Rattus norvegicus: one gene and its partners. The main gene of each other region encodes a partner of the protein of the gene in region 2 in a complex. Links are inferred from orthologs where the notes say so. Each region holds a gene or a part of one and is shown on either strand. Other genes may lie near its edges.

Region 1 (10,296 bases), on a different chromosome or scaffold from region 2:
ATTAGTGTGTGTTCTAAAGCTAAGACTCTGCTTTCTTTGCCCAGTGCTTGATAAACTCTGTAGCAGAAGAGCATCCCAACCTTAGTTAAGGAGAACACTGGCTGCTACAGTATCCTCTTCAGAGCTAGACTTGAGGGAGCTGAGTGTCCTCACCACTAATATCCTAAAACTGCTGATCTGATAGATAGTCTCCTCAGGTTAAAGGTTATGGTGAGGTAAACACACTTGCCTGGGGTAAATTTACCAACATGAAGACTATTAACATTGAAGTGTATTCATTTTAGAAAACCTGACTTTAACAATGTTACACTGTTAGAAATATGAAGCACATTTGCTGACCTTCTTTTCTCTTTTTGTTTACAAGAAGAGCATGCTTTTGAAACTGGATAGTGTTGAAAAGTTGAAACAACTTTTACAAGTTTCTCAACACTTCCTCCTAGTTGTTGTATAACTTATAGTTTTGGTATATATTAAGGACATCTCATTTATATATGGTACTGTTATTCAGAGTTCTGAGTAATTGGTTACTTGACCTTTTTCTGTTTCTTTGTTTGTTTGTGTGGGTTTTTTGTTTGTTTGTTTTTGAGACAGGGTTTCTCTGTGAAGCTATGATTGTCTTGGAACTTGCTCTGTAGACCAGGCTGACCTCAAACTCAGAGATCTACCTTCCTCTATTTCCCAAGTGGGCCTTTTTCTTAATGTTCTGTAGTACATCTCACTATGCTATGATGGATGATTAGGACATATGCTTTAAAATTAGATGATAGCTGGATTGGACGACCAGGTGGATGATTAGGGTACACGCTTTAGGTTTTTTAGTGAGCCGCTCTCATGGTTCCTGACTTATGATGGCTCAATTTACACTTTTTGACTACATACAGAAGTAGTATGCATTCAGTGGACGAGGCATTAACTTTTGAATTTTGTTCCTTTTCTACAGCAGCACTATGTACTCTGCTGCAGTGCTGGGTAGCAGTAGGAAGCTTATGGCTTCTGCTTACAGCTGGCTGCTCTCTCATATGATAGTTTACATTGTACTCTGCTGCCAAGCCATGTAGGTGATCTAATAATATGTTCACCTTTTTGATACTGTCTTCCTAACTTCTAATGATATTATCAGGACATAACATTAATCATGGAGGATCTGTATATCTTTTGGAAACTTTGTGGTTAATTTATTGGAAGTAGAGATCTCAATCCAAAGTTGAAAACATTGTTAAGCTTTATTTATTTATTCCCAGAATGAATATTTAAGTTTTAACTAGGCACATATGTGCATATTAAGAAACAAGCAGGCTTTTGCTACTGTTTTCTGAAGTTGTAGTCCTTTGCAAGTTGGAAACTCGTGCTCAGTTTCTTCCATCAGAAGAGTAAATAGCCTATTGTGAATAGCTTGCTAATTGGACTTGTGAGAATACTTCCTTTTTAGTTGTCTTCTTGTCACTCATAGCCTTTGCAATTTTAGGTATTTTTTGTGTTATTAATTTATTTAAGTTTTTATTATTTGAGTTTATTTGGGTTTACTAATTTAATTTATTAAAAACTAAAGATGGCTAACCATCTGTATAACTATCTGCATTCCAGCTTATCTGTATTTTAACTTGATGATTTTATCATAAATTTTAATTTGTTGGAGTTGATATTTTTATGAAAGTACACTTGACTTATTAAAGGAAAGTCTGTTTGAAAGTAAATGACACTTGAAGAAGGTATTGTATCAACCCTATGATGGGTATCCAGATGGGATAATCCAGAAATTCTTTAAATGTTGGTAAGAACACATGTTAGAAGTGTAAGTTCTTATAATAGGGTTGGTTCAGATGATAAAAATAGGAAATTTGGTATTTTTACATAATTAGTAGATAGTGCATCTTTAGGATATTAACTGAAAATAGCCATATATACCTATGCCTTTTGGGAACTCTTTGGAGGTTTTTACATGGTTTTCATTCATATTCTGTCATAACTAGAGATTTTGCTACCTTAAATCTCAACGATAGATCTAACAGGCAATAGTCAACACCAGATAAAATTTTTAGATTTTGACTAAACAATGTTATAGTTACCCTTTAACGTTAGTGTTAGTATTTTCCCCTTTATTGCTTTAATGTTTAAGAGTAGAGAAAGTAGAATATAGAACATTTAAAGAAAAGGATAGTACACTGATTTGGAAATGGGACTCCTAATTGCTATGGAATTCCCCTTACTGTAGAAAGTTTCCTTCATCCTCTCTAGAGTTTGACCTCACTCATAAGGCTATGAGTTGGGTATTATAAAGCATGAGATCTATACCAAACTTTATTATAAAAGACTCATTCTACGAAGCTTAGACTTGAATTATATATATTTTGCAGAAGAGAGAAAGGGCCTGTTCATATGTCTTTGTTTGCCAGTCTTACTTTATTATAAAATACCGAGGTATTGCTCCAGGTCTCTCACCTGGGAATTGTGATTCAATAGGTCTGGGACTGCATTGGGACCTGGGAATCCATATTTTTGGTAAGTTCCCCTGGTGATTATTATCATTGGGCAAGTTGGGGAAATAATGACTTACAAACCCTACCTCATCGATGCAGTATTTAATTTGGTAATGGTTACCTAATGTTACTGTAATAAAATAAGTTGAGCATGTGGCTAAGAGCAGCCTGAGCCTGGAGAACAGTCTGCTGTAGTCTGATTGGTTAAACGTGTTTAAACAGGTTCAGTGTGAGCCCAAGGACCTCATTTAAGGGACATGATCTTAGTATAATGAGATATTTAACTAGGGTCTGAGGCGGGGCTGCATTGGAATTTATTCTGATATCTTTCCTACAGGATTTTTCAAGAGAAGTCATGATGTAAAGTGATGGTTAGGGCTCCTTTCTGTTTTTAAATGTTTCAATTCTTAACTTTGTCATTTAGTTCTTGACAGTCTGGAAACTAAAACTGACCTTTGAAATTGATTTCCAGAGAATAAACTACAAAAATACAATTAGTCAAAGATAAACATTTATTTTGGTTTTGTTAGTTTTATTGCAATCTTTCATAGAAATTTTCTTTTGCTAATGGTAGAAAGCAATGTTAATGTTAACAATAAGTAAATAAAAATAAATGGTAAATCCACAAGATACTTTTTTATGAATCTTCATCTTCTTAATATAATACCTAACGTATTTGTGCTCAGAAATTACAGGTAGCTTTTCCTCTGCTTTAAGTAGAAATGTGCAGAACTGGTTTATAGTTAGGCTTCCTGGCTTGGTTTAAGGTCATCTGTCTAGGATTGTATTTGCCTCTAATTGTATGCGATTGCTGGAAGGAGAAATGATGTCATAACTGAGTCTTTAATTCTGAACAGTTCACTGCTTACTAGAGCCACCGAAAGGCTCCTCATTTGTGAGAGGAGGCGTCTCCTTTCTCTTTAAGATGGAATGTAGTTTAACTCAGCCACAAGAGATGTTGGCCACTTGGTGTCTCCTTCCTGGTTCTGCTGAGAGCATGAGAGGTGTGCATAACCCCTCATGGCTGTGGCTACAGCTCCATCTGGCAGCCCTAAACTAGCTGCAGAGACTGAAAAGAACATGTCTGTGGTAGCCTCTGGTGAGTAAAAGACCCTTTTTAAGTCCAGTGAGATTTATATAATGTTTAGAAGCTGATGAGATTGAGTTGATGGTAAGGGTTAACTCACCATTGGACTGTTTCAAATGATTATTTACTTCTTGGATACTTTTCATTTTATTTTTCTTGATCATTGTGAAGCATTTGAATGGTTGGACATAAACCAGTCCTCTGTCTTGTTTCTGCACTATAGTTGTAGGCGTAAGTGGAAAACAACTGATAATGGAAATTTTGACCATTTTTTTCTCTCTCCTGCCAGGGAGGACATGTATGCTCAGGACTCTATAGAGCTACTGACAACGTCTGGCATCCAGTTTAAAAAACATGAGGAGGAAGGGATTGAGACCCAGTATTTTGCAGAACTTCTTATGACCTCAGGAGTGGTTCTCTGTGAAGGGGTCAAATGGTTATCATTTCATAGGTAAAAAATAAAAGGGTGGGGGGGACATTGCAATATGCATCCATCATATATCTGCCTTATACCTGTTTGGGTCACTATACCAGCAATTCTTTGCTTAGTTCTAGTGAGTTAACTGCCACGAGCATGTGTAATACCTCACTGAGAACGTTTACCTTTTAGCAAGGCATGTGTTTTAGCCTGGGGGAGGGATTGGTGCTTAGTGGAAAGAATGTAAACTACAACCAACTTTCGTTCAAATCTGGCAAAGCTATTGAGGATTTGTGTTCCTCTTCCTTCTTAACCTTTTTTTTAAGTCTTAGTTTATGTTTATATAAAGGGAGGTATTAATTTTTTAAAAACTTGATAGTACTTTCCTGATGTTAGCCACTGTGCTGAGATGCTAAAACTGAACACAACAGACTAAAACTTTCCCTCCCATGTACTTTCCATTCTTCTAAAGGTAAAGCAGCAATTTGAATGACGTAGTGTCTAGTGTGGCATGTTATACAATAATAAGTGTTACGAAGAATTGATCCACAAAGACAAGACCAAGAACGGATATGTAGGAGGTTTTTTGGTTTTGTTTTGTTTATTTTGCTTTTTGGTTTTGTTTTGATGAGGTGATTGGGAAGGCTATCCTTAGAAAAAATGTCTTGCAGATATTTCTCAGTGGTTGATTACAACCCATACAAAGCATTTCATTTTATATACTCTGTATGTGATGATGTTTAATTCTTTATTATTATTATAAAAATAAAACCGGATAGTTAAGGAGGATTTAAATATTAAACAAGCTAGATTAGTCCATTCAATATCAAAGATATGTCTTTAAAGTCTAATCAGTCTATTTTTTTTAATTATAAATTCTGCCAGTCATGGTACTTGGGAGACAAAAGCAGGTAGATCTCTTGAATCTAGGGCCATCCTATTCTTCCAGCCTAGCCAGAGCTATATAATGAAGACTGTCAAAAATTAAATAGTATGTATATAAATTCTAAACTATAGCATTTTATTAGAAGTAAGCAAAGCCATATTGCTGTATTTTAGAGAACTGGCAAAGTTACTTCTGCCAACTATTAGTGAATTTAAGTTTCTGCTCTTGGGTACATGTACCAAAGATCTTCCATGGTAAAACTCCCCTTTCAAATTATAAGTAAAATAATAAACATCAAATAAAAGTTTATCTTGTATGTCCTCTAAAAGATAGGTTCAGTAAGGTCATTTGCCAAATATGAGTTCAAATTATAGGTGAGAAAAAGATATTTTATAGCTATAATTCCTTTCCTGTAAACCAGTGGAGAAAATCCATGTACCTAAAGGTCCATGTACAGCAGACATTTGTCTGTATAGAGATCTCTGGGTTGGGCACTTGAGGGAAGGCTTGCTGTCGCAGGCCCATCATAGAAAGTAACGTCGAAGGAGTTCAGGAGTGGAGGGACCTAGGCAGCTGGTGAAAGACTGGTGATAAGGATGTGTGACCTCAATTTGAGGCAGAAGGAGAGATGGTGTTGTATTAAAAAACAGTTCTTTTCCCTGGTTCCTACCTGCCATATTTAACTTTCCCATTGATAACTATCTCTTGGAGAGTTATACTGATATAGAAACAACATTTGGGGGAATGTACATCCTAATAAAGTCACTTAGTGGAAATGAAATACTCTGTTAGGGATTTATTCTTTGAAATTGGTGAGTGTCACCATCTCATGTAAATGGTGACAAGGTTTTACATGGTTTTTGCCTTTGAAACATTAAGTCTTGCTAGCTTATAGCATTTTTCATATACCTTCCCATTCATCGTGTCAGTGACCTTACTGAACCTATGTTTTGGAGGTGTGTACTTGCATGTGTATATGGTGGTCATAACACTCAGATTTTACTTGGACGTTTGGGATCAAACTCAGGTACTCATGTTTGAACAGCGTCTCCCCAGCCCAGAATTTTACGTATCAGAAAAATATTATTTAAATGACTATAGAGTTAAATTGATAATATCATGTGTTTAAGATGCTGAGTGATGAATTTCTGCATTACAGTTATGAATGTTTCTCTTTTCATTGCTCCTGTTTGCACATTGTTGTTAATCCTTTTGCCTGTAGTATGACTTATTTAGCTTTCTACCTGAAAAACTAGGTCTTTCATGATATTAATGTATTTTTTCTGTATTCTTTTAATCTTTTTATTAGTGGTTATGACTTTGGCTATTTAATCAAAATTCTGACCAACTCTAACTTGCCTGAAGAAGAGCTTGATTTCTTTGAGATCCTTCGATTATTCTTCCCTGTCATCTATGATGTGAAGTACCTCATGAAGAGCTGCAAGAACCTCAAGGTGAGGCTTCGGGAGACTTTACCTGGAGCTTGAACAACCCTTTCACAGGGATCGATTGAGACCATTGGGAAACGCAGATATTTATGTTATGATTCGTAACAGTAGAAAAATCACAGTTATGAAGAAGCAGTGAAAATAATTTTATGGTTGGGGGTCAGCACAACACAACTGTATTAAAGGGTCGTAGCATTAAGAAGGTTGAGAAGCAGTGATTTAGACCAAGTAACTTCTATAATATCTTAGGCCTGAATGTTTTAAGCCATGTTTTAAAGATCATGTTAAACACAGTTATATTATCTGATCCTGTTGTTCTTAAGTAGTAGACGGCCCTCTTCCAAGCTGCAGTGTTCATCTTGACAGGAGAAGGTTTGTTTTGGGTTTATGTTTTGATTGGTTGGGTTTTTGTTTTGTCATAGATTTTTTAAATTTTATTTTATGTATATGGGTATTTTGTTTGCATGTGTATCTATGCACCAAATGTGTGCCTGCTGTCTGAGGACATGAGAAGAGGGTATCCAGTCCCCTACAATTGTAGTTATGGATGGTTGTGAACCACCATGCTGTGCTTGAGCTGAACCTGGGTCCTCTGCAAGAACATCAAGTGTTCTAACCTGCGGAGCCATCTTTCCAGCCCAGAATAAGGTTGATTAATATATTAATTACATTAAATATATTTTATATACACACACATTCTGTGGACGTTCATAGTAAGAGGTAGCAGAGGCTAGAGGAGAGCGCTAGACTCCTCTGGAACTGAGTCATGGGTACTCGTTAGCTGCAGTGGGTGCTAGGAACTTGGTCCTCCACAGCAGCAGTGCTCTAGGGGCCAACTCTTTAGCCCCTAGAATAAATTTTTTAAAAAGTCAAGCTAAGGGCCAGGTTTTTGTTATTGATGCCAGATTGAGAATCATGAACTGAAACGAAAGTATGAGGTATAGCACACTTACTGGGCCTATTACAGCGGTGCTCACACTCCCAGCACACAGAACTATCCTAAAGATACAGGTTGTGGTTGACGAGCAGCGGGCAGCGACATTCAATACTGTTCTAACGTGGTTTTCCTGACTAGAGACTCTTTATTGTTTCTTGTTGAAGTATGTTATTATTTACATAGCTAAAACTGATTAGGTTTAAGTACTGTATAGTAAATATGTAGTTTCCATATAGATAGCAGCTTATTCTGATACTACTTAAAATATGTGACCATTTATTCTTAACCTTTGAACAAAATAAATGTTTCCTGATTAAAGTACTTCGGTTTAAGAGCAAATTCACCTGAGTTGGCAACGGATCCCTGGCAATACAGTGAGTGGGTTTTTAGTTGCTGGATTTTAGTGTGATATTTAAATTATAACTAAGGAAACAAGTGTATTTATAGCCAGTATTGTCCCTCTCTTCAGTAAAACCAAGGTTGGTCAAGTTTCTTTAGGCTTTAGAAAAGTGAATGTGTAAGCTTTGATTTCAACAATTAACTGAGAATTGCAGGACACAGGTGTTTGCCTCCAATATAGGTGTGGTGCCATATAACTGGGAGAAGTTCTTTGCAAGATTATTTCAGACTATCAGCTGAAAGTTGTAGAATTCTGTGTCATTTGAGGTTTCCTCATAAGTGAACTCCAGCAGAGTATTCTGATTGCTTACACAGATGGGTGGCATGCTGAGAATCTAAGTCTGATCTGGCTCTGACGTTTTTGTTTTTGGTTTTTTTAATTGACAGCTTGGTATGATAATAGTTTTCATAAATAGTCCTAACTCTTTACTCATCTATATATTCAGAAATGCCTAAAAATATATCAAGTATTTTCTTGTGTGCTGTGTGAGCTGCTCCCACTGAAAGTGTATGTTAGTGATAAGGTGCTGCCAGTCGTTCACATTTAGTCTGTGTCTGTATTACCAGTGGCTGCTAAGGATACATAGTGCACACAATGCTGTTTAGCACAGAAGTAGTTGGTGGGCAAAAGTCCTATCAAGCTAGGATGGGACTTCGGAGGGCCTGACTTGCTAGTAAAGCCTTTGTAATTTAAGGAGAGCGTTGATTGGTAGTAGTCTGCTTCTGTCTGTCTTTTATTTCTTCTCTTTTCCTTTCACATTCTTTATTTTTCTCAGTCATGGCTATATTAATGTAAGCATATCATAGCAAACCATTCTAAAAGAGTTATATCTGTAAAATTCTCTTCTTAGTTGAGAAAATGAACATTATGTGGCAGACTGACAGCAGTGGTCTGAACACTCGTGCTGTCTTTGTTTTATTTAGTTGTAAATACTTCAGGGGATGCCTAGATATTTAAAAGGAAATGCCTGTACTCAATACTGAGTTTTTAATGAGTGATGGCACAATACACTGAGTGTGACTAATACCTGTTACCCTGAATCTGATCTACTTCCTCCATATCTGTAGAAAATTGTTTGCTTGTCACATGCCTTAAAATGTATAATTAAGATAAAATTTTCCTATTAGAATTTCATATTTGGTAACAAGGCTTTTATGGTCCACAAATGTATTGCAGATTAATATTTTATCAATCCCCTTGCCATCTTTACAAGGTTAATCTTTACATATTAAAAACTTATTCATATTTTTGTCAGTGTCTAAATGTATAGTTGTGAGTTCCAGTCCCAAAGTCTTCTCTTTGACAAGCGACTGTTCTTCCCTCTAGGGTGGACTGCAGGAAGTTGCTGAGCAGTTAGAGCTGGAGCGGATAGGACCTCAACACCAGGCAGGATCTGACTCACTGCTTACAGGAATGGCCTTTTTCAAAATGAGAGAAGTATGAAGACATCAGTGCCTTTTTCTTGGTTGTTAGGTAGAGAACATTAAAAGTCTGATGACAAAAGTTTTGGGCATTAAGAACCTACTAAGTGAAGATATAAATAGAGGTACTATATAAGTTACATCCACCACATTTGAATGAAAGTGTTAAATAAGTCCTCCTGAAATGTCATCCAAAAAGGAAAGATAATAAATTCTTTATAGAATAAAAAATTCTTTTATTCTGAAATACGTTGCTTACAGAATAAAGGATTATGTGATTGTAGAAGTCATGTACATATGAACATACTGTTTTTTAGATGGACAGAGCAGAGGCTAGTGACTTTAAGCTGAAAGTTAGTGAGGGAACACTAGAGGCCTTTCTTTTTTTTTTTTTTTTTTTTTTTTTTTGGTTCTTTTTTTCGGAGCTGGGGTCCGAACCCAGGGCCTTGCGGTTCCTAGGCAAGCGCTCTACCACTGAGCTAAATCCCCAACCCCACTAGAGGCCTTTCTTAGACCCCACAAGTGCCCTTCTGAGTCAGGGAATGTGTGTCAGAGTTTCCTTAGTTTGTACCTTCTCTTTCTTGAAAATGGTGGTGAGAATAGATTTGCTCGTCTTTCTTTGCTTTGAGGGTTTTATAAAGTAGAACTTAAAGTTTTTACTAAGTCTTAAAGGGCTTTTTGAATTATAGGTATTAATTAACTCTAAAGTCTGATATATAGTTGAATTAAAAGCTATTTCAGGAATTCCCCCATTAAGTACTTCAAGAATAAAATTGATAGGAGTAGAAGGGTGATGTGTAGTGGAACGAAGTCTGTTTTTAGGATAGATAACCATCCTAGTGATAGATATCACGGTTACCTCACTGGTGGTAATAAAACAATATTTAGTTATAGACACATACACACACATATAGATCCTATTTTTTGTTTGGTACAAGTGTGTGTATGTGTTTGTGTCCTATTTTGGTTTGGTACAAATCGTGTATGTGTATGTGTGTGTGTGTGTGTATGTGCATACACACACACATGCATGTAATGCATGTATGTATGTATGTATGTATGTATGTATGTATGTATGTATGTATATAATGTACCTACAGAAACACATTTTTACAGAATACTTGCTGTGGAATTATTTTGAGTGTATTCTCTTGGTAGAAGTATGTTATTGATACAAAGCATTTGATCTGTGTTGCCAGGTAGTATCAATTTAGAAGTTACT
Region 2 (10,296 bases):
TTTTACTGTTTTAAACAGAATTTAGTTTAGTGGAAAACTGTCAGGGATAGGATTTAAGAAAACATCAGAAAGTAAATGTTTTTTTCCCCAACTTGGCCTTGCACAATTATTATCACAGTTATTTTGTAACATCTAAAGAGAGTAAATACTAATTTGGACCATATTTGTGCCTCAGAATCTTGGGTTTTTTCTTCAAAATGTTTCCTGTCCTTTGCCCTATCACTGAGTGTTAACAAGAGTGTAGACTAGGTTGAATGGTAGGACATTTTGATTTTAGATACATGGATTGAAGAGAATCTGTCAATCGTAGGACGCACTTCATTTTTAAAAATAGCTTTAATGAAAATTTTCACATTTAATCCTTAAGAATTTTGATTCAGTATTATCTATAAGATTGAGCTACCTGGAAACTAACTTGATTTTTGGCAAAAACTAAAGTCTGTTGGTTTCTTTTAGCAACTGCTTTAGCAGGAAATAAACAGGGAGTGAGTGGTAGGTATTGCTGGCTTGCCTTGCCTCTAGGTGCTTTGGTGATGAGAAAATAGTGGTGTTGCCATGGTTATAGGACCAGAGTTAGTGTTCCTGGGCACTCTGTACGTGAAGGTGGCAGTAAGAGGAGAGGTTGTAAGGTAGCATGCATACGCCGCAGGAGAAGACCTAAAGGAAGCCCTGTGGTAGCTGTAGGCTTCTAGCTTCTGCATGTTCTGGTGGCTTGTTGAACAACTGAAGCGGACCAGCCAAGATTAAAACCATTGACAGAATGGAAGTCTATAAGCATTTGAAAATTATAGTTTTCTGGGTGTGACTTTAAAATCCGTCAACCTTCTAATTCTTAAGCAAAGTCCTATACTTGATCACCTTTAAAGAGCACACTTTTCATACCCAGTGTGTGAGGTCTGGCTGCCTCTCACATTGCAATTCAGTGTTTTTATATGCTACTATAAAGTCTCAAAATTTTAAATTCTTGGATTTTATACTGGAAAAATTATTTTCAAGACTTAAGTTTCTAGTTGAAAAATTATAAATTGTTGGTTAAAATATATTCTCACATAATACTTGACATTTAGACATGGAAAGATCTAATGTTATGTATTAAAATTTAATTTTTACTTGAAGAAGTTTATAATTAGTCATAATATGAGAGATACTAACTTATAAATTAATCAGTAAATAAAATTTTAATTTATTTTGCTTTATTGTATTTTTAATGGAAATTAAAAAAATAATTTATGAGAAATGGCTTATCTTGACCTTTATAGTTGTAATTTTAAATTATCACCTTCCTTGGTTTAATAAGTGAACTTACTTATAGAATAGTAGTTATGATGCTTTTAATTGTGAAATTTTTCAGAAAAATCAAAATTAATTGGAAAGCAGCCCTAAATCTATACATGCTTATAAAACAAGGCACAAGATAAAGAAGAATGATTGTATACAGTTAAATTGTAGGTAGAAAATTAAGTGGTTCAAAATTAGAATACAGGTTAAGAACATGAAAGGCTGAGAGAAAAATAATTAAAATAGCCAAAGTAGAGAAGTTGGGTTAAATGTTTATGTCTAATGGTAGCAGTTTAATATAAAACAAATACATACATCTTTATTCCATATATTTATTGAGCGCCTACTGTGTAACAGGCAATATAAAGTTCTGGGTTTTGATCTTTATTCCCCACCTACTCCTGATACTTAGGAGTCCATCCTTGCATGGAGCTAACAAACACATACATGTGTACACATTTTTGTTTCAAACTAAAGTATATATGACAGAAGTCCTCAGGGCTTCCTCTGTTTGCCTCAAAATCTTTCTGGACTTTTGCAAGAGCTAATGTCATCGTATCTTAGAGTTGAAGCTCCCAAGTCATCTAGATCTTGCTCCATCCAGTTTGAATGAAAAGAGCAGTTACAGCTAAACAGTGTAGTTCTTGTTCCCTAAGAAGCACTAAGTTTTATTGCCCTCTTCCAACAGGGGGAAATAATGTACAACTCCTCTCTTTTTCTACATCTCCAGACTTGGGTGTTTTAAGATGCTGGCTGTAGAATGCTTTCCTCAGTTATTAGGGAATTCATTCCATGACACAAAATCAGTCCACAGAATCCACAGTATGTGTGTCCACTGTCATGTGCCTACAACACCACACTGCACTATTAAAGAAGACGACACTGTTGTTTCCAGTGAGATGTTTGGCTTTTGTGTGTCATTGTAGATGTTTGTGGAATCAGTAACAAGTATTATCTCTTATCATTTAGATGGCAGTGAAAATGTGACAGGATTGGACCTTTCAGATTTCCCAGCATTAGCAGACCGGAATAGAAGGGAAGGAAGTGGCAACCCAACTCCATTAATAAACCCCTTGGCTGGAAGAGCCCCTTACGGTAATTCATATTCTTAGTGATGGCCAACTAAAGGTTACAGTCATGTGTACTACACACATGCGTGTTTATGTGTGCATGCTTGTATGCATTTATGTTTCAAACCAGGTTAGCTCTATTTTGTCAGAAATCTTAATTTGAAAATTGGTTTTTCTTTCCATATATCTACAATAGCAAAATTGAGTAGTAAACTTTAGTACAGAAATCTAAGTACTTGATTTCATTGCTATTCAAAAGTTATTTCTTCTATTCTATGTGCCTTAATTTATTATATGTGATTGGTTTTGTGACTTGGCTTTTGTTAGTTGCCTCCCCCTCCCCTTTAAGAGAATATATCCCTGGTGACTAATAATAACTGCGTTGAGATCTCTCTCTGAGTGAAGAGGTCTCCTGAGTCACACTGGGGCCTGGAAGACTCATGTCAGGAGGAGGGTAGTCTGAGGGCACTTATTCAGATAGGACATTTATCAACGCTAATGACCGCTGTGTGCAGCACTGGCTATCCTGCCATCCATGTGGCACACGTTTCTGCATACTGGCAAATGCCCTCTTGAAAAGCCTGTGAGAACCAGTGCTTATGATTCTGTATTTCTGTAGATTCTTGGCTATGATTAATAACCCAGTCACTCTTTTTTACAGTCTATAAGTTAAGAGATTCGGGTAGTAGAGCCTGAATAACAATGTTAAGAAAAGCATTTGCAGTGACAGTATAACAACGGAGACAGAAACATTTGTGATGTCAGCATAGCTAGATTGTTGTTACTCGTGGATGAGATCTGATAGAGGCTGGGATCGAGGCAATGATTAGATGAATTTCTTCATCAGTTATTTTAAAATGGAGCTAATATTTTCTCCATAAGGGTTTCAAGTTCCATACTTCTGCATATGAATAGAAATAATGTGTGGAGGAAAAACTTTATTGATCATGTATATCTTAAACCTTCCAAATCTGTTTTCCCAAAATAAGAGAATGTGCTGTGCCCTGAAGTTGCGTGCCTAGCTGCTTGCTTCTCAGTTGAGACGCTAATGTTGTTAACCTTTCCCCATAGGTCCTTTCTTTCATCCCTTTAAACATTCCCGTTGCTCTCCTTGGACCATCTCTAGTTTCTCCATTTCCTTCTTGAATTGTGGAGCCCCAAACTGGATTTTGTTCTCCAATAAGGGCCCGACTAATGACAAGTATAGTGGGAAGAGTATTTCCCAGTTCTTGCATGTTTTACATCTGTAACATGGAGTCCAAGAAAATGAGAAATAAAGTGGAATTGTTTTATAATTGGTTGCAAATTGCTCACTCTGTAAGTCAATTTTAAGTAGAATACTGACATGTTCTTTTAAATTTTATTATATTCATTTTCATTTGACAGCTAACTGGTGTTTATGGCATGTAGTGAGATATTTAAAGCTAGCCTATAAGCCAGCATTTTAAATATTATTACCAATATATCAAATACTATTTTAAGCACCTATATAACATTAGATTAGAATTACAGGATTACCACTTGTTTTCCTTGTATGCTTTATATGTTGCATTTTTTTAGCAGTAAATCAAAATTTCATTCTTTATCATTATCCTGAATATTAATTTTTGAGTTATCAGTTCACGTGCTTTTAAAAAGAACTTTTGGTATATTGTGATAAGCAAAGTTAGCTTCTTATATAGTTTATAAGACAGTATCACAGATTCAATTACAGCTTTCTTGATTATTTTCATTGCGTAGTTGGAATGGTAACAAAACCTGCAAATGAGCAATCCCAGGACTTCTCAATACACAACGAAGATTTCCCAGCACTACCTGGCTCCAGCTATAAAGACCCAACGTCGAGTAATGACGACAGCAAGTCTGTAAGTAGCTGAGGACATGGATGTGAGGGATATAGTTTTCTCCCTTTAGATTTGCCCTACACTAATAGCTACTGACTAGATGCTGCCACAGAACTATTTGAGCACTGTAATAATCTAACTTCTGAAGAATGTAGAAAGCTTTATAAATTAGAAGATAGCCATTTTTTTCCTATTTCATATAGGTTTGCAAATTTCTGTTGAACTTGTCAGTTAATTTAGACTTTTATTGTAGTCCCTGTCAGCTGGATCCCATGAAGTTTGATAATATAGACTTCTAAGGAGCTGTGTTTTTCTTGAGTAAGTTTTCTCCTTGAAGAATCTTTATGCACATTTTTATACCTGTGTTGATTCAGCAAACTCAGCTTCTGATTTAACAAGTGTGTTTATTTCAACATTTATGGCAGAGAGCTTTTTTCTTTTTGTATGTATGATGGGCTTAAAGAAGATTGTTGGGTAAGGACAGAAATAAGTGTGAATATTGAAACTTGATACATTCTTAGTTTATCGTTGAGGTTGCTTTGTAATATTTTTAGTATTGTAGTATGTAATTACTCTGTTATGTAGAAGTGTGCATCCACAAAGCATAAAACCCTGAGAAAGACAAAGATATTTTTCATGTTTTACTCCCTGTGATCTATGACTGAGATCTTAAAAAAAAAAAAATACTAATTTTCTCGGGATTTCTTGCCCTTTAAATGCTCAGATGTAGACAGTAGACACGGGATTTGTTTGTTTTCCATGAGGCAGTTATGGGGATACAATTTTCGAGTAGAAAACAGGTAATTACTACTAACTTAAATACAATAGTGGACGACTAGCAAGATGTTGATGAATTTAAACTTAGATATTTAACACCTCTAATGTCACATTTTCCTTTTTCATGCTAGAATTTGAGTACATCGGGGAAGACGACTTCAAGTACAGATGGGCCCAAATTTCCTGGAGATAAAAGTTCAACAACACAAAACAATAATCAGCAGAAAAAGGGGATCCAGGTGTTACCTGATGGTGGGACTCCATAAATATGTCAGATATTTTAAAGTACTTTTTTTCCTCTAATTTTCTTAATATAAAGTAAAAATAACTGTGTTTTTCTTAACCAGGTCGAGTTACTAACATTCCTCAAGGGATGGTGACGGACCAATTTGGAATGATTGGCCTGTTAACATTTATCAGGGCAGCAGAGACAGACCCGGGAATGGTACATCTTGCTTTAGGAAGTGACTTAACAACATTAGGCCTCAATCTGAACTCACCCGAGTAAGTTTTTCTTCCATGTTTGTACATATCTTCTAACATATAATAGATTCTCATACTGTTAGCTTTTTCTTTTGAAAAATGCCAGGCAGGCATGATCCTGTATCCTGTGCTACCCCAGAGAGCCTCAGACTTGTAACTAATCTCCTCATCAGCCTGCTTACTCCTGGGCCATTCCTTCTAGCTAGTCCATAGAGCACTGTCACTGAGAAACACCAAGGATTCATGTACAAGCCATTTGGGTCTCTCCCGAGCCACATCTTTATCCATCTCATAGTTCTTGTCATTATTTGGAACTGTGGGCTCACCAGAAATTTAACTTGTTGCCTGATTTCTAACTATCACCATTTCCCCTGTCTCTCTTGTGGCTGCGACTTCTGTATCATTTGATCCTATTGGGACTTAGAGCTCTTCTGCCTTCCTCGGTGTTCTTATCTCTTCGGGTCTTTGATGAGCTCACTTCCTTCTCACCATTAAATTTTATGGTCAGTCATAATTGCTCACTTGCATGACTGCCCTTCTCACTTCTTACCACACTTGCACCTTGGAGTCTGTATCCATCGTTAAACCTGTTTGTTTCATTCCTGACCACCTTCTGGTTGGACTACAGAAAAGCACAATTTTATTGTCTGGTCTTGCTGCACACTCATGCTCAGGAACTTAAAACTGAGTCCAGAATTTTACAGGCACACTCCTACCTGATGGCACGACCCCTTCAGAACCTTTTGATTGCTTTTGGGTGTGTTTGTGTTGTTGGCTGGTTGTTGTTATCCTGTGTGACTGTTTTGCATTTCATCAAGCCACTAATAGTGTTTCCTCCTGTCCATAGCTCTAATAATAACCTGCTTCTATTTCTACTTTACAAAGACAGGTGTAAGCAAATAGAAGAGGGCATTAACCTTGTCCTGCCACCAGTCTAAATCTGACATGCCCTTGCCAAAGTATTTGGTCCATGCTTCCTACTTAAAACTTTGTAAAAACTCGTGAGTGTGCATCTTGACTTTTTCTCCTTTCCCTGGTGCTGGCATCCAAACCAGTGTTGTACACAGTAAGCAGGCATTTTACCTCTGAGCCATGTCCCCCACACCCGCCAGGACTTTGGAAATGGTTTTGCTGCTGTAGTCCAGTGTGACTCCTTAACTAAGCATTTCTGCTTCTGTCTGAGCGATGATATTACAGACACATGCCATGATTTCCTTCCAGGTTACTCTGTTTTGTCAATTCCAGTCAGTAGAGATAACTTATTTTTCCAATCGTATCAAAATACATGATCTTGAGTCAACCACCTTTAAGCTATCATCACATTTTTAATTCACTATTTTGAAGCAAACCATCTCAAATGAATCATCTTGATTTTTCTAATTTGTCTTCTCTCACTCTATTAAACCCAGTTTTGCTAAGATTCTGTTCCCATGGTTTCACTAAACTGTGCATTACCAAATGATCTCCCTAACTTCTGTGGACCATGATCTGCTCACTTTCTCTTGGTGCTCACTCCTCACTTGATTTTGAAGACGTCATTCTTACCTGATAGCATTGGTTCATTCCTCAGTCTCCCTTTCACACCACCTCTCCTTGACCTTTGGATTAGGCCTCTCTGTCCTCTTGATGATCTTATCTAGACTTGTGCTTTTAAGGACCACATAGGTTGAAAATTCCAAACACATATTCCCATTGAAGACTTTTTTCTTGAATTTGAGATTTTAGATACCTTTACTAGCTAAATATCTTTTTAAGATTGGTTTAAATCTACACTGTGTCTATGCTCTCTTGGTCTCCATTAATACTTTCAGAAACTTGACACCATCCTTAATTCTCTTCTTCCTTTTCTCTCAGATGCAGTCTTCTAAAATAGGTACAGAATCCAATCCTATTCTCATGAAATTGCTACCACCCTGGTTTGTTGCCTGAATATTCTGCCAGCGGGTCACTCGGCTGGATCCTTGCTTCTCTTCGTGCTTTTTGTATAGCTTTATAGGTAGCACTTAAGATCATTCTTTCTAATTTAAAAACTCCTCCTTGACCAGCAGCTCTGCCATGTTTGTTCACATCATCCTGTCTTTCTTGTCCCTGGCTGCCTTCTACTGCCTTTCATGTCACGTCCTGCCTCAGTTGTTCTGATATTTGCCTTGACTACTACAGTGTTCTACTAACTAATTACCTGTGATTATCTCCCTCATATCCTTGAATATTTGTTTAAATCTAAGCTTGTCAAAACCAACTTAAACTGACCACCCTATTTAATTATACAAACAATATTATTTATCTGTTATACTAATTACTTGCCAATGTCCAGTTCACCATACACTTAAACAGAAAGTAAGTTTTCCAATATCAGCAGCCTTCATTTTGATCCCTTGACTTATTCAGAGCACCTTGAACAGTTCTGGGGGCATCTAATAGGCACTCAAATCCATATTTAGGGAATCTGGCTGCTCCTCATTGCAGGCTTGAGTGAGGGGCATGGAAAGTAATGTAATTGGAGAGTAGTGTAGAAATGAATTTAAAGCATTGTTAATTATAGCACATTTAGAGTAGACCATTTAAAGTTTATGCCTAAGTATATTTCAATGTGATGTGCTTTATTTTCTATTCTAAGATAGTAGAGGGAGCACTCCTGTGTTGTTTTTCTGCTATAAAGTTGCAGTATATTTAATAAAGGAAACCAGGAAGGATGCTTACTTTTATATTTGAGTTATTTTTTCCATTTTCCTGAAATTAAGTTAGTAATAGTTTTCTACTTCATTCTTTAAAGTGGCTTCTTTTTTTTTTTTTTTTTTTTTTCTTTCTTGTTCAGAAATCTCTACCCCAAATTTGCATCACCCTGGGCTTCTTCACCTTGTCGACCTCAAGATATAGGTAGGAGAATCTATTTCTATTCAGAATTGTTTTAAAGATATTTTCTAAGAATCCGTTAATAACACTTTTGTTTGTTTTTTTTTTTTATGCAGACTTCCATGTTCCGTCAGAATATTTAACAAACATTCACATTAGGGATAAGGTGAGTGTAGCTTTCTGTCCTCAGGCATTCATTTTATCTTCTGTCTTGGTAGGGCTTTAGGTTCAGACGGTATGCTGATCTACTAGTAATCTTAGGGATATGCCTCTGAATGCCATTCACATATGTATAACAATTCTATTTTCTTTTTATTAATAATATTAATGCTGTAGGTCTTATTTTTTTTTTAACCAAACAGTGTTAGGAATGATAAAATAGTTCCTGTAATTAATAATTATAACCTTAAGTATAGTGAATGGAAATAAACTAACTTGGAAAATATAGTGATTATTTTATGCCCTTATTCATAAGAGATTTTATCCAGATAAAATGTTTTTAATAGGACAACCCACAAACACCCTTTTGAAGTTACCTGACATCTTTTTCACTGTGTGCTGTACCAGTGCTGTAGACGTGAGGTCACAGTTGCCTAAGTGTTCCATAGCCTTTCTTAGGCCAGTGTGAAAAAGTACTGGAGAGTACAGTGCGTTCACAGCTGCCACCAGAATAGGAGGACATGCTGGGGGGAGACTGACTCACTGGGGTGCTGCAGAAAGGCCATGGCACTGACTGTAGGGAGGGTCAGGTAGACCCTGTATGTGGGTGGATACTTCAGAGGCTCTGTGTGAACAAGAGGCTGAAGATGATTGCATGTACCCTGAGTTTATAGTTGTGTAGGCTTTTTTCTACCTTGTGGAAGGAAATGTGAAAAAGTTTCCTTTTAGGCATTCAATTAAACAAAATATGAGTACTGTCTCGAATTTTTATGCTTCTGCTGTGTGATGTGCTAGGAAGAAATGATTTGTGAACTGTTGCATGTAGAGTCAGCTAGCACTTACAAACCTGTGTGTAGCTGGAATTCCGTGGGATATACAACTCAATTTTGAATTTAGGATTGGGGTTCAACAAATAGCCGTGTTTATTTAAATGGAGAAACTCTTAAACTCTGACTCGCTGATAGTTGTCTAAGCTAAATAAAGGATTTCTGTTTGTCCTTTGGATTTTTATTTTAGTGGTAACAGTTGTTTTTTGAAATTTTTACATTTGTTTTACAACTTAGCATAATTTGTCTTTTGTAGCTGGCTGCAATCAAACTTGGCCGATATGGAGAAGACCTCCTCTTCTATCTCTATTACATGAACGGAGGAGACGTATTACAACTCTTAGCTGCAGTAGAGCTGTATGTTAACGTCTCATAGCACTTTCTCCTCAGCAGATCCTAGATAGTCTGAAGGCTTCTAAAATGATGATGGTTATGGGTTTGTTGGGTTTTTTTTTTTTTTTTAATTGAAAATTCTTCATTCCATGAAATGTAAGTTGTTAGTGGGGATGTTGTTGGGGTTGAAACAGCAGCTCCAGACCTCTGCTTCATTCCTGGGTCAACAACAAAACAGTATAAAGAAAAGAATTTGAATTATCTCCATTTTTAGTAAAATGAATTTTGTTTATTTTGAGAGCATAGTACAGCTTTATAATCATTGTTCTATAAAAAGAATTTTAAACTTGATGTCAGCTATCTGAAGTGACATGCGTGGTGAATTGAGTTTTTATGAGTTATAAAGCAGGACTCATATAGTGGTTCTTGTAGAATCAGATGTTTATGATGAATAGACACAGAATCTCATTATTTCATACATATCAGTGGTTACTATATAGACAGTATTCTGCATGTCTGTGCCTTTAAACCAATACTAAATTGTCAGTTTTTTAATTTCTCAGTTGAGAAAATTTACTTTACTTTTTCCCCATTTCCCTCTCATTTATGTGAAATGAGGTTAACACCTACTGCTTTTAATCTAGTCACAATAAGTAAACTTAGTGACTGTCT
Region 3 (10,396 bases), on a different chromosome or scaffold from region 2:
ACAAAGATGCACAGGAAGTTTTTGATTTTTCCTCACCTTGGCTTGTACAGCCCCTCCCACTCAGGATGTTTCTCTTCTTCCCACCCACTCTTTTTTTTTTTTTAAAGGTTTATTTATTTTATGTGTACACTGTAGCTGTCTTCATGCACACCAGAAGAGGGTGTCAGATCCCATTACTGATGGTTGTGAGCCACCATGTGGTTGAACTCAGGACCTCTGGAAGAGCAGTCAGTGCTCTTAACCACTGAGCCATCTCTCCAGCCCCCTTCCCACCCACTCTTATGCCTCTGGTTCTTCCTGTGGTTGGAAACTTCTGTGAAATTCGGAAGCCCTTGGGGTCCCACTACTAGACCATTATAGAATATCATGATTCAGAAAACAGTTCCTATTTTTTATACGTTATTCTTTCTGCATGTTTAGTGTTTTGCTTGCATGTAGTCTGTGTGAGGGTGTTGGGTCTCCTAGAATTGGAGTCATAGACAGTTGTGAACTGGCATGTGAATGCTCGGAATTGAATCTGGGTCCTCTGGAAGAGTAGGTAGTGCTCTCAACTGTTGAGCCATCTTTCCAGCCCCCCCAAAAGGTTCTTTTTTTTTTTAAAGATTTATTATATATACAATGTTCTGACTGCATGTATGCCAGACCTTATTACAGATGGTTGTGAGCCACCATGTGATTGCTGGGAATTGAACTCAGGATCTCTGGAAGAGCAGTCAGTGCTCTTAACCACTGAGCCATCTCTCCAGCCCCCCCAAAAAGTTCTTAATGCTGCTCATTTAAAAATAAATCAGGGGAGGAATCAGAAGCCCCCGGGAGGCAAGCCACTTTAATCAAGCCATCTAATCCTTTCTGTGACAAAGGAGGATCATTGGTTGAACACCTTTGGAAGTGATCTCATTTTGATACTGTCTCATAAAGTAGCCCAGGCTGACCTTGAGAATGTGGCAAATCAGGGGCTGGGGATTTAGCTCAGTGGTAGAGCGCTTGCCTAGGAAGTGCAAGGCCCTGGGTTCGGTCCCCAGCTCCGGAAAAAAAAAAAAAAAAGAAGAAGAGAATGTGGCAAATCTCCTGCCTCTGTAGACATATATTACATCTTGCCTATTTTTTTTTTTGAAGTTTTTTTTTTTCTTTTTTTTTTTGGAGCTGGGGACCGAACCCAGGGCCTTGCGCTTCCTAGGCAAGCGCTCTACCACTGAGCTAAATTCCCAACCCCTTTTTTGAAGTTTAAAATTCTCTGAATAGTATAAGATTTGAAATGCTGTGGGTTGGGGATTTGGCTCAGTGGTAGAGTGCTTGCCTAGCAAGCGCAAGGCCCTGGGTTTGGTCCCCAGCTCCAAAAAAAAAAAAAAAAAAGAAAAAGATTTGAAATGCTACTTTAGGGGGTTGGAGAGATGGCTCAGCGGTTAAGAACACCGACTGCTCTTCCTGAGGTCTTGAGTTCAAATCCCAGCAACCACATGGTGGCTCACAACCATCTGTAATGAGATCTGATACCCTCTTCTGTGTGTCTGAAGACAGTTATAGTGTACTTATACATAAAATAAATAAATATTTAAAAAAAGAAATGCTACTTTAGTGGATTATGAAGGAAAGAAAAAAAATCTAATATAGATAAAAACAGATTTAATATAGGTTATAGGCTACCAAGAATGAAGTAGGGGCTGGTGCTGGGACTCAGGGACAAAGTGTTTGCTGGGAAGGTCCTGGGCTTAGCCTCCACCATCACCACACAAAAAACCTGAAATCCTTACATAGGAGTCCCCCACCACCTTTTCAGCTACAATTAAATTGTTCAAATATCTAGAAAGAAATATGCATGTATCTGGAGGCTAAAAGAGGTTTCATTGAAATAGCTGTTTTGGAAATGTGGGAGGTTAAAAATTTCTGCCATCTTTGAAGGCGCGGATACAAACTTCAGATTTAAACAGAGAACTGGGTCTGGGTGAGAGGTCTGTATACTGAGGCAGGCTTGGGGAAGCATGGTCTGGTCGGTCTTTATCTAGAGGAGAGTCTATGGGACGAAGCAGGGAAGTGTGATCTGGTTGGTCTCCGCCTAGGAGACATTCCATAAATTATAAACAGGCCCACGTTCACAGAAAGACAAAGGAGCCAGGTGTAAAGTGAAGGCTGGGTACCAGGACTTTAAGGGTTTTTGAGACAGTGTTTCTCAGTGTTTCTCTGGGTGTCCTGAAACTCACTGGGATTAAAGGCATGTACCACCACATCTGTCAGTTTAAATTTTTTCAGGAGTATTTATTTGTGTGTGTGTGGTCATTGTGGCTCACACGTGAAGGTCAGAATGTGGGTCCTGGGGACAGGCCTTTCTCCACGCAACCCTCTCACTGACCTTTAACCTGTCTTTATATTTACTTTTTAAAAAAGTATCTATTTTGGGGTTGGGGATTTAGCTCAGTGGTAGAGTGCTTGCCTAGCAAGCGCAAAGCCCTGGGTTCCGTCCCCAGCTCCGAAAAAAAAAAAAAAGTATCTATTTTGAGACAATATCTCCTGTTCAGTCCTGTTTGGCCTGGAGCTTTTGGTAATCCTCTGGTTTCAGCTTCTTCAGTTCTGGGATAACAGGCATGAACTATCTTTTTTGAAAAATTAAGAAGGGCTGGAGAGATGGCTCAGTGGTGTTCCAGGACAGCCAGGGCTACACAGAGAAACCCTGCCTCAAAAATAAAAAAAATTTTTTTTCTTCTTTTTTTTATATATATTTTTAATGTATGAGTGCTCTTTTAATGTATGTATGTATGCTGCATATATACCCACATGCCAGAAGAGGGCATCAGATCCCATTACAGATGGTTGTGATCCACCGTGTGGTTGCTGGGAATTGAACTCAGGACCTCTGGAAGAGCAGTCAGTGCTTTTAACCACTGAGCCATCTCTCCAGACCTGTACATTTTTCTTAAGATTTATTTTATGTATATGAGCACACTGTTGCTGTCTTCAGAAACAACAGAAGAGGGCATTGGATTCCACTACAGATGGTTGTGAGTCACAATGTGGTTGCTGGGAATTGGCCTCAGGACCCTTTGGAAGAGCAGCCAGTGCTCTAAAGTCGCTCTTTGTACCTTTTTTCTTTTTGAGCAAGGCATACCTTTGTTTAGAACTGGAGACAATAGTGATAGGTTATTTTCCTGCCCCTCGTGAAATGAGCGCCAATTTAAATCAGATTAGATTAAAGGCAGGTTTATTGGGAAGTTCTGGTTGGACCAAGGACCAAGGTCATTTTAAGGGAGAGGGGCGATAGGGGAGGGAGAAAGAGAGAAAGAGGCACTAGCCCAGAGAGAGGAAGAGGAGGAGGTGAGAGACCAAAATGCTGGATTATATAGGGAGGAGCCTCTGTGGGAAGGGCAGCCCAGCCCCTGGGCTAGAAAGTTGAAGGTTGGGGCCAGGGTGTGCCAGGTAGGGACTGAGGGATGCTGGGAGAATTTGGAGGCCAGATCTGCTTTGATGTGTAAAATATGCACTTCAATCCCTTGTCCCAGGGTCCAAAACCAAACATTTAGGAATCCAGGCTGCCCATGGAGAGGTACGGCCCAGCTCTTGAAAAGATCTATGTTCTAACCATGTTTCTCTGTACTTTCAAAACTATGCTTTTTCAGTTGAAGAAATTTGTTCAAACTTTAGTTTCTCTTGTTTGCAGTTTGAAAGTCACTCCAGTTCCTTCTGAAATACAATTAACATTCTGTGAAAAGCTCTAGGTGAAGGGTGTCGGGGGAAACCAGGTGTTTCCTGTTCAACTCTTTCAGAACACACCAGGCCTATTGGTGGCAAGAAAAAAAAATTCCATGCTCTTCACGTGACTAGCACATAATAGGTCCAACCTCTCCTGAATCGGATTCAGAGGCTGCTCCTCACATGACTAGCACATGCTAGGTCCATCCTCCCCTGAATTGAATCACAGAACAGAGCACAGACTCGTACTGAACCAGCCAACTGAGGGAAGGCAGCATTTAACTAGCCTAGACAACCCGAACACGTCAAAAGAGGCCAGGCGTGGAGTCAGTGCCATCAACATTGTTGCAGAGTTAATCTACGGCAGTTACAGTTACTAACTACACAGACCTCTCATTCTTTGTGGTGATGGCTATTGCCTTCCTCATCACAATCTTTTTTTTTTTTTTAAAGATTTATTCATTTATTATATATAAGTACACTGTAGCTGTCTTCAGATACACCAGAAGAGGGCATCGGATCTCTTTACAGATGGTTGTGAGCCACCATGTGGTTGCTGGGAATTGAACTCAGGACCTCTGGAAGAGTAGTCGGGTGCTCTTAGCCGCTGAGCCATCTCTCCAGCCCCCTCATCACAATCTTATGTCTCTACAGATCCTGGAGAGAAGCAGCAAAGGTTGGGCTTCAGAAACTGTCCTTGACATTGTTACCCCAGAGGCTGGCTGTGAGATTTCACTTCTCTGGCTGGAGTAATAGTTCAAAAGGTTAGCTCTTATTTAGATAGTATAGCTCAGTGGTAGAGCGCTTGCCTAGGAAGCGCAAGGCCCTGGGTTCGGTCCCCAGCTCCGAAAAAAAAAAAAAGAACCAAAAAAAAAAAAAAAAAAAAACACTTCTGGGGCTGTAGAGATGGCTCAGCGGTTACGAGCACTGACTGCTTTTCCAGAGGTCCTGAGTTCAAGTCCCAGCAACCACATGGTGTCTCATAACCATCTGTAATGAGATCTGATGCCCTCTTCTGGTGTGTCTGAAGACAGCTACAGTGTACTTATACGTAATAAACAAATAAATAAAAGTTAAAAAAAAACTTCTGGAATAAAAGTTTAACATAAAAAGGGCAGAGTAACTGGGGGATGGGACGTCAGAGGGGGACACCTGCTGTCCGCCTACCTACAGAGCCCCTTGGAGAGGAAGCACCAGGGATGGAGGCTGGAGCTGCGCTAGAGGAGGAGGCGGTCCTCAGAGGCCTTAGTCTTCTCGCCGCGTGGGAGAGCACGAGATGGCGATGCATCCCAGCATGGCCTCGCTGCCAGCTGAACCCTCTCCGGGACTGGCCCCTCTCTCTGCACAGGCCCGGGTGCAGCGCTGCTTATGCTAGCTGGTTGCCAAGACAACGTTCCGTCTAGGTCCTGGGAGGCAGTGCTCAGCTGACCTCAGTTAAGACTTAATTTGGTGGCGCCCCCCAAACCCCCACCTAATGGCCATTCAGAAGGGGTTCTATGGATAGATGTTCTCTGAGTGAGGAGTTCAGGTCGCAGTAATCGAGGGTCAGGACACCCCATGTTCCCTGCACCATCACCTCCAACCAATAGTCCTAATACGCCCTGATGTCAGGAAGTGGGGCCAACTCTAGATTCCGTCTTCTCCCGAGGCGCGACTTAGGATATTTCAGAACCCAGAAGGGGATCCAATTTACACAGCTTGACGCCGTCTGAGGCCGCAGGGCATACCTCGTTTTGCGCACGCGCCCTCCGAAAACCCTAATTTTCTCGTTCTGCGCCTGCGCAAGAAGGCGGAGCGCGTGTATCTGAGCGCGCACTGGGGGAGGAGCCGAGACTGGCGGGCCCGCGCACGCCTCGAGTGACGCGAAGAGTAGGCGAGTCGGGAGGGCCGAAGGGTAGAGAGGCTCAACCTTCTGGTTTGTTGCAAATCGTAGGCCGCTCTGGGCTCCGGGGCTTGCGTCTCATTGTCGTGTTGGGTTCCTGGAGCGGATCCGGGGCAAGAGGGAGGAGAGCTCGGGGTCAAGGGCCGCTGCCGCCCGCACTCGGCGGGGCCGCCAGCCAGGGTAAGCAGGCTGGGTTGCCCAGGGTAGGAGCTCGAGGCGGAAGTGCCTCCGTGGCGACCCATCCTACACACGGGAACACTGAGGCTAGGGGGGCTCTTGGTCCCCTAAGTCCAGCCTGGAGGCCTAAGGAGGCGGGGGGAAGGCAAGAGGCCTCTCTGCTTGGATCTTGGGGTGCTGCAGCTTTGCGTGGCAGAGCCGCTCTCGGGTAGCCAGCAAGCTGGATGGGGTGCCGTCTGAGTTCAGGGCTGTGGCCTGGAACGCTCCAGAGGGGACCTGTTGCCATTTCTTCTAACGGGCCGCTGCTTCCTCCTTCGCCGGTCTTGCTCGGCTAAGCCTTTTGTTTAGTCTTCTGGAACAGGGAAGTGAAGCTTTTTGTTTCCCAGACGCTCTGGCGAAAACAAAACCAGACAAGTAGGAGACACTCAGCTGAACTGTCTGCAAGGCTAGCAAGGAGAGCATGTTTCTTGAGCTCTCACTTGCTTGCACTTCTTGCACTACTGCTCACCTGGGTGCACAGAGACCCTGCTCCGAAGTTTGGATAATCAGGAGCGGTTTCAATCAGGAGATTGTTTTGCTCGCTCGCATACACACACACACTCCCCCCCCCCTCTCTGTGTCTCTGTGTCTCTGTGTCTCTGTGTGTGTGAGAACACAGGGCAGGGTGTGCGTGTGTCTGTGGTGTATGTGTGTGTGTGAGAACACAGAGCAAGGTGTGTGTGTATGTATGTGAGTGTGAGAACACCTTTTGCTTTGCAGTTTCAAATGTAGCTGGATTGGGGATCAAGTTTTAAAGCCAGCCTGTGAGGCAAACATTACATGGGATCAAAATTTTCCTTTAAGGAGTTGGAGAGATCGCTTAGGTGTTGATGCACTCAACCCTTCTTTCACATACTCATAAATAAATGGAATAAAAATAAATCTTTAGAGGAGAATGCAGCCTCAACCTCTGAACCTTCCTGAAGAACTTTGAAGGATTTTTTTTTTAGGGATTAATGTTTATTAGTGTATGAATTTGCAATTAATGCCATGTGTGTTGGTGGCAAAAATAGGCCAAAAAGGTGTCAACGTTCTCTGGAGCTGGAGTTACAGGCATTTGTGAGCCAACTCACATGAGTGCTGGAAACCAAACTCTGGTCTGCAAGAGCAGCAAGTGCTCTTAACTGCTCAGCCATTACTCCAGCCCTCATTCTGCTTTAAGCTTTATTATTATTATTATTTTTTTTTTTTGTTCTTTTTTTCGGAACTGGGGATCGAACCCAGGGCCTTGTGCTTTCTAGGCAAGTGCTCTACCACTGAGCTAAATCCCCAACCCCTTTATTATTATTGTTGTTGTTGTTGTTGTTCTTGTTATTATTGGTGTACACATGTGCCAAGTTGCATCATCATCATCATCTGTGTGTACACATGTGCCAAGTTGCTCAGCTGGCTCACTGACTGGTTTAGTTTGCTTTCTTTTCTTTTAAAAACAGGGTCGCAGCTGGTTGTGGTGGTACTTGCCTTTAACCCCAGCAGTTGGAGGCTGAGGCAGTTGGATCTCCGAATCCAAGGCCTGTTTGGTGTACACGGTGAGTTCCAGCACAGCCAGGGCTACAGAGAGAAACCTGTCTCAAAGGACAAAACAGAACAGTGAAATAAAAGCAGGGTCTCCTCCAACTGGCCTGGTGACTCCTTTCTCAGCCTCCTGAGCGTGGGATTGCTGTCTTATTTCTGAGTGTATATAGCTCAGGATGCCATTTTTTTTTTAAGTCGTGAAATTCATTATTGCTCTTCTGGTTGTAACCTAAATAATGAGGTTACTTCAGGGGCTGTTATACTAATAACTGTACTTGAAAACATAGACTCACTTCATCTGAGGTATGGGAAAGAGAGGCTGAAGAAAAGAAGTGTGCTGCTTCTTAGAGCCTGGGCTCCCTGGGTGGAAAGTGGAGGAGGCTGGTTGCCTGTGTGGAGTTGCTGTTTTCTCTCTTCCCTGTGGCCAGCATGCCAAAAAGTTCACTTGCTTAGTAAAATGTGCCTTATGTGATCTCCCTTGTACGTCTGCAAAGGATCCCTTGTGGATCTATCTGAATTATAGGGTCTGAAGCCAAGGCTGATCTGGAACTTTCCAAGTTTTAGCACAGGCATCCTCTTCATTGGAAAGGATCTGCCTTTCCTGGGCTGAAATCTGCCGATCGTATCTGCACAGATTTGCTAGGGAAAGGTTTGCTGCAGGGATGACTTGTGTGTCTTTGCCAGTGTCTGCTCCTGTGTGGCTGCCCTTTACCTGATAATAATGTAACAGTAGCTTTGAAAGTGGTTGGCTTCCCGAAACAAACTCTTTCTTTAGGCAGTTTGTTTCTTTATGCCTGTGTTTTAATGGAAACAACTTTCAGCAGTCCAGGACTGACACCCACTTCCCTGCTATGTAGTTTATGGCTTGCTTAGGGAAACAAGGTTGTTGTTTTCAGTAACCAGACATGGGAAGTGACTTCAAGAGCCAGGTGCAGTGGCTCATGCTGATAGCTGCAGCACTTGGGAGGCAGAAACAGGAGGATTTTTACAAGTTCAGAGGCCGGCCTGGAGAAGTCTGGAGTAAACATTTTCTCAGTTGTCAGGAAGTTGAATTTACTGGGCATTCATTGTGAGTGAGCATCTTTCCTAGTCTCTGCTAGTTCACTTGCCAGCCTTTATTAATAAAAGAAAAACCGGAGAAGAAATGGATTGTGCCTTCAGGAGGCAGCTGCCACATGTTTCTTTATGTTGAGAGCCACCACTCAGTGTTCAGTCTCAGGGAAGCTCCTGCGAAGAATAGATTGCCTTGAGTGAACGAACGGGTCTCTTTAGAAGTAGCCAGCCCTGAGGATGGTCCTCAGTGTCTTCTGGAGTCTACTGTATGTCAGTTCTAGAGCTGGAAGACAAGGCTTTTCCTTCCTCTGGGCTTTGGAAACCCCTCACGTTCATTTACTGTTGCTGAAGTTTTCACGCATGTGCACTGCAGCTCACCTTTACCTGTCCTGTTGAGGATCCATACAGTGGGCTTCGCCTCATAAGGAAGCTCTGTGCCATTATGCACCTCTCTCCCCAGGGTTTCCCTGTATCGCTACACTGGCCTTTAACTTGTGTTTAGGGGTGTGCGTGTGTGTGTGTTTTGGGGCCAAGGATCAAGCCTGAGGTTGTTAAGCGCTATCAGAAGCCTTTTCTGTTCTGTTCATAAGTGAGCCTTTTGTGCTGGTTTGCTGTAGTGACTGGGAGCTGAGGTGATGTTGAATTTGATCCTGCTGAGTACATACTGTGGTGTGCGCCATCAGCCAGTCTGCTCCTGTTTGAATTATTTTTACTGGCCACCTCTTCTTTTTTAGTTATTTTACTTTATGTGTATAAATGTTTTGCCTACAGAATGTCTGTGTACCATGTATCTGTTTGGTGCTTGTTGGGGCCAGAGGAGGGCATCAGATCCCCTGAACCTGGAATTATGATTGAATGTAAACCACCATTTGGGTACTAGGAACTGGACCTGGGTCTTCTGTAAGAGCCACCAGTGCTTTTAACCTTGGAAGTATTTCTTCAGTCCTACCACCCTTGTATTCTTATTGTATTCTTATTATTATTAAAAAAAAAAAGAAAACAAAAAAAGGGATGGGAGGGTCTTGTGTCTACATTTTTTTTTAAAGATTTATTCATTTATTATATATAAGTACACTGTAGCTGTCTTTAGATACACCAGAAGAGGGGATCGGATCTCTTTACAGATGGTTGTGAGCCACCATGTGGTTGCTGGGAATTGAACTCAGGACCTCTGGAAGAGCAGTCAGTGCTCTTAACTGCTGAGCCATCTCTCCAGCCCCTTTTGTTTTTCAAGACAGGTTTTTCTGTGTACCCCTGGCTGTCCTGAACTTGCTTTGTAGACCAGGCTGGCCTCAAGCTCAGAGATCTATCTGCCTCCTCTGCCTCCGAGTGCTGGATTGAAGGCAAGTCCTACCACCACGCCCGGCATAACTTTCCATTTTTAATGTCCTGTTAAGGGCTCAGGTCAACAGGTAGCGTTTTCTTTGTATGGAGAGAGAACAAACTTGACAAAGGCCAGTGCAAGCACTCCATAGGTAGTGGGTGCCTAATGCACTGTTAATGAAGCTATGGTAAGGCTGGTTTGTGTGTGTGTTTTCAGGCAGGGTCTTGCTGTGTAGCTCGGGTTGACCTTGAGTGGACTCAGTATGTAGTCCACGCTGGTCTGAAACTCTGCATCCTTCTCCTGGGCCTGCTGAGTGTTAGGACCTTGTGTCCGGGTCACTGAGTCAGCCTAACACTGATGTGTTTACATCTTACACGACGATGTAAACTTACTGTGGTTTCTAAATGTCTTTAAATCTAGATTGGATCCAGTGTGGAAGATTAAATCAAGCAGAAGGGGGCTTGTTCTTTTCATAGTTGGCTCACAGTGGCTCCTCAGGTGCCTTCAGGATGCCTGCGGCACTTGTAGAAAACAGTCAGGTCATCTGTGAGGTGTGGGCCAGCAATCTTGAGGAGGAGATGCGGAAGATCCGGGAGACTGTCCTCAGCTACAGCTACATCGCCATGGTGAGTAGGCCTTCCCCACCAAAGCCAGGGAGGCTAAAATGACTGGAACCTGCATGCTTTTGTGAGTCAAGGCAGCTAGTGTCTCTGAGGAGGGCACAG

Evidence for each region.
Region 1: Cnot2 (region 2) and Cnot7 share a complex: the UniProt entries of both Homo sapiens proteins name them as parts of the CCR4-NOT complex. The link is inferred for Rattus norvegicus from reciprocal best matches to the Homo sapiens genes CNOT2 and CNOT7.
Region 3: Cnot2 (region 2) and Cnot8 share a complex: the UniProt entries of both Homo sapiens proteins name them as parts of the CCR4-NOT complex. The link is inferred for Rattus norvegicus from reciprocal best matches to the Homo sapiens genes CNOT2 and CNOT8.

Annotation. Positions count from the first base shown.
Region 1 is NC_086034.1:58,485,571-58,495,866, forward strand, and holds part of Cnot7 (CCR4-NOT transcription complex subunit 7), read left to right. Parts: intron 1-2,460; coding exon of another isoform or gene 2,461-2,499; intron 2,500-3,853; coding exon 3,854-4,015; intron 4,016-6,177; coding exon 6,178-6,322; intron 6,323-8,979; coding exon 8,980-9,090; intron 9,091-10,296. UniProt on the Homo sapiens protein: Has 3'-5' poly(A) exoribonuclease activity for synthetic poly(A) RNA substrate. Its function seems to be partially redundant with that of CNOT8.
Region 2 is NC_086025.1:54,023,968-54,034,263, reverse strand, and holds part of Cnot2 (CCR4-NOT transcription complex subunit 2), read left to right. Parts: intron 1-2,247; coding exon 2,248-2,373; intron 2,374-3,419; coding exon of another isoform or gene 3,420-3,598; exon of another isoform or gene 3,599-3,665; intron 3,666-4,088; coding exon 4,089-4,213; intron 4,214-5,100; coding exon 5,101-5,221; intron 5,222-5,316; coding exon 5,317-5,473; intron 5,474-8,267; coding exon 8,268-8,329; intron 8,330-8,421; coding exon 8,422-8,471; intron 8,472-9,547; coding exon 9,548-9,648; intron 9,649-10,296. UniProt on the Homo sapiens protein: Component of the CCR4-NOT complex which is one of the major cellular mRNA deadenylases and is linked to various cellular processes including bulk mRNA degradation, miRNA-mediated repression, translational repression during translational initiation and general transcription regulation.
Region 3 is NC_086028.1:42,776,543-42,786,938, forward strand, and holds the start of Cnot8 (CCR4-NOT transcription complex subunit 8), read left to right. Parts: upstream 1-5,703; 5' UTR 5,704-5,743; intron 5,744-5,759; exon of another isoform or gene 5,760-5,885; intron 5,886-6,978; exon of another isoform or gene 6,979-7,052; intron 7,053-7,186; exon of another isoform or gene 7,187-7,212; 5' UTR 7,213-7,308; intron 7,309-10,091; 5' UTR 10,092-10,180; coding exon 10,181-10,297; intron 10,298-10,396. UniProt on the Homo sapiens protein: Has 3'-5' poly(A) exoribonuclease activity for synthetic poly(A) RNA substrate. Its function seems to be partially redundant with that of CNOT7.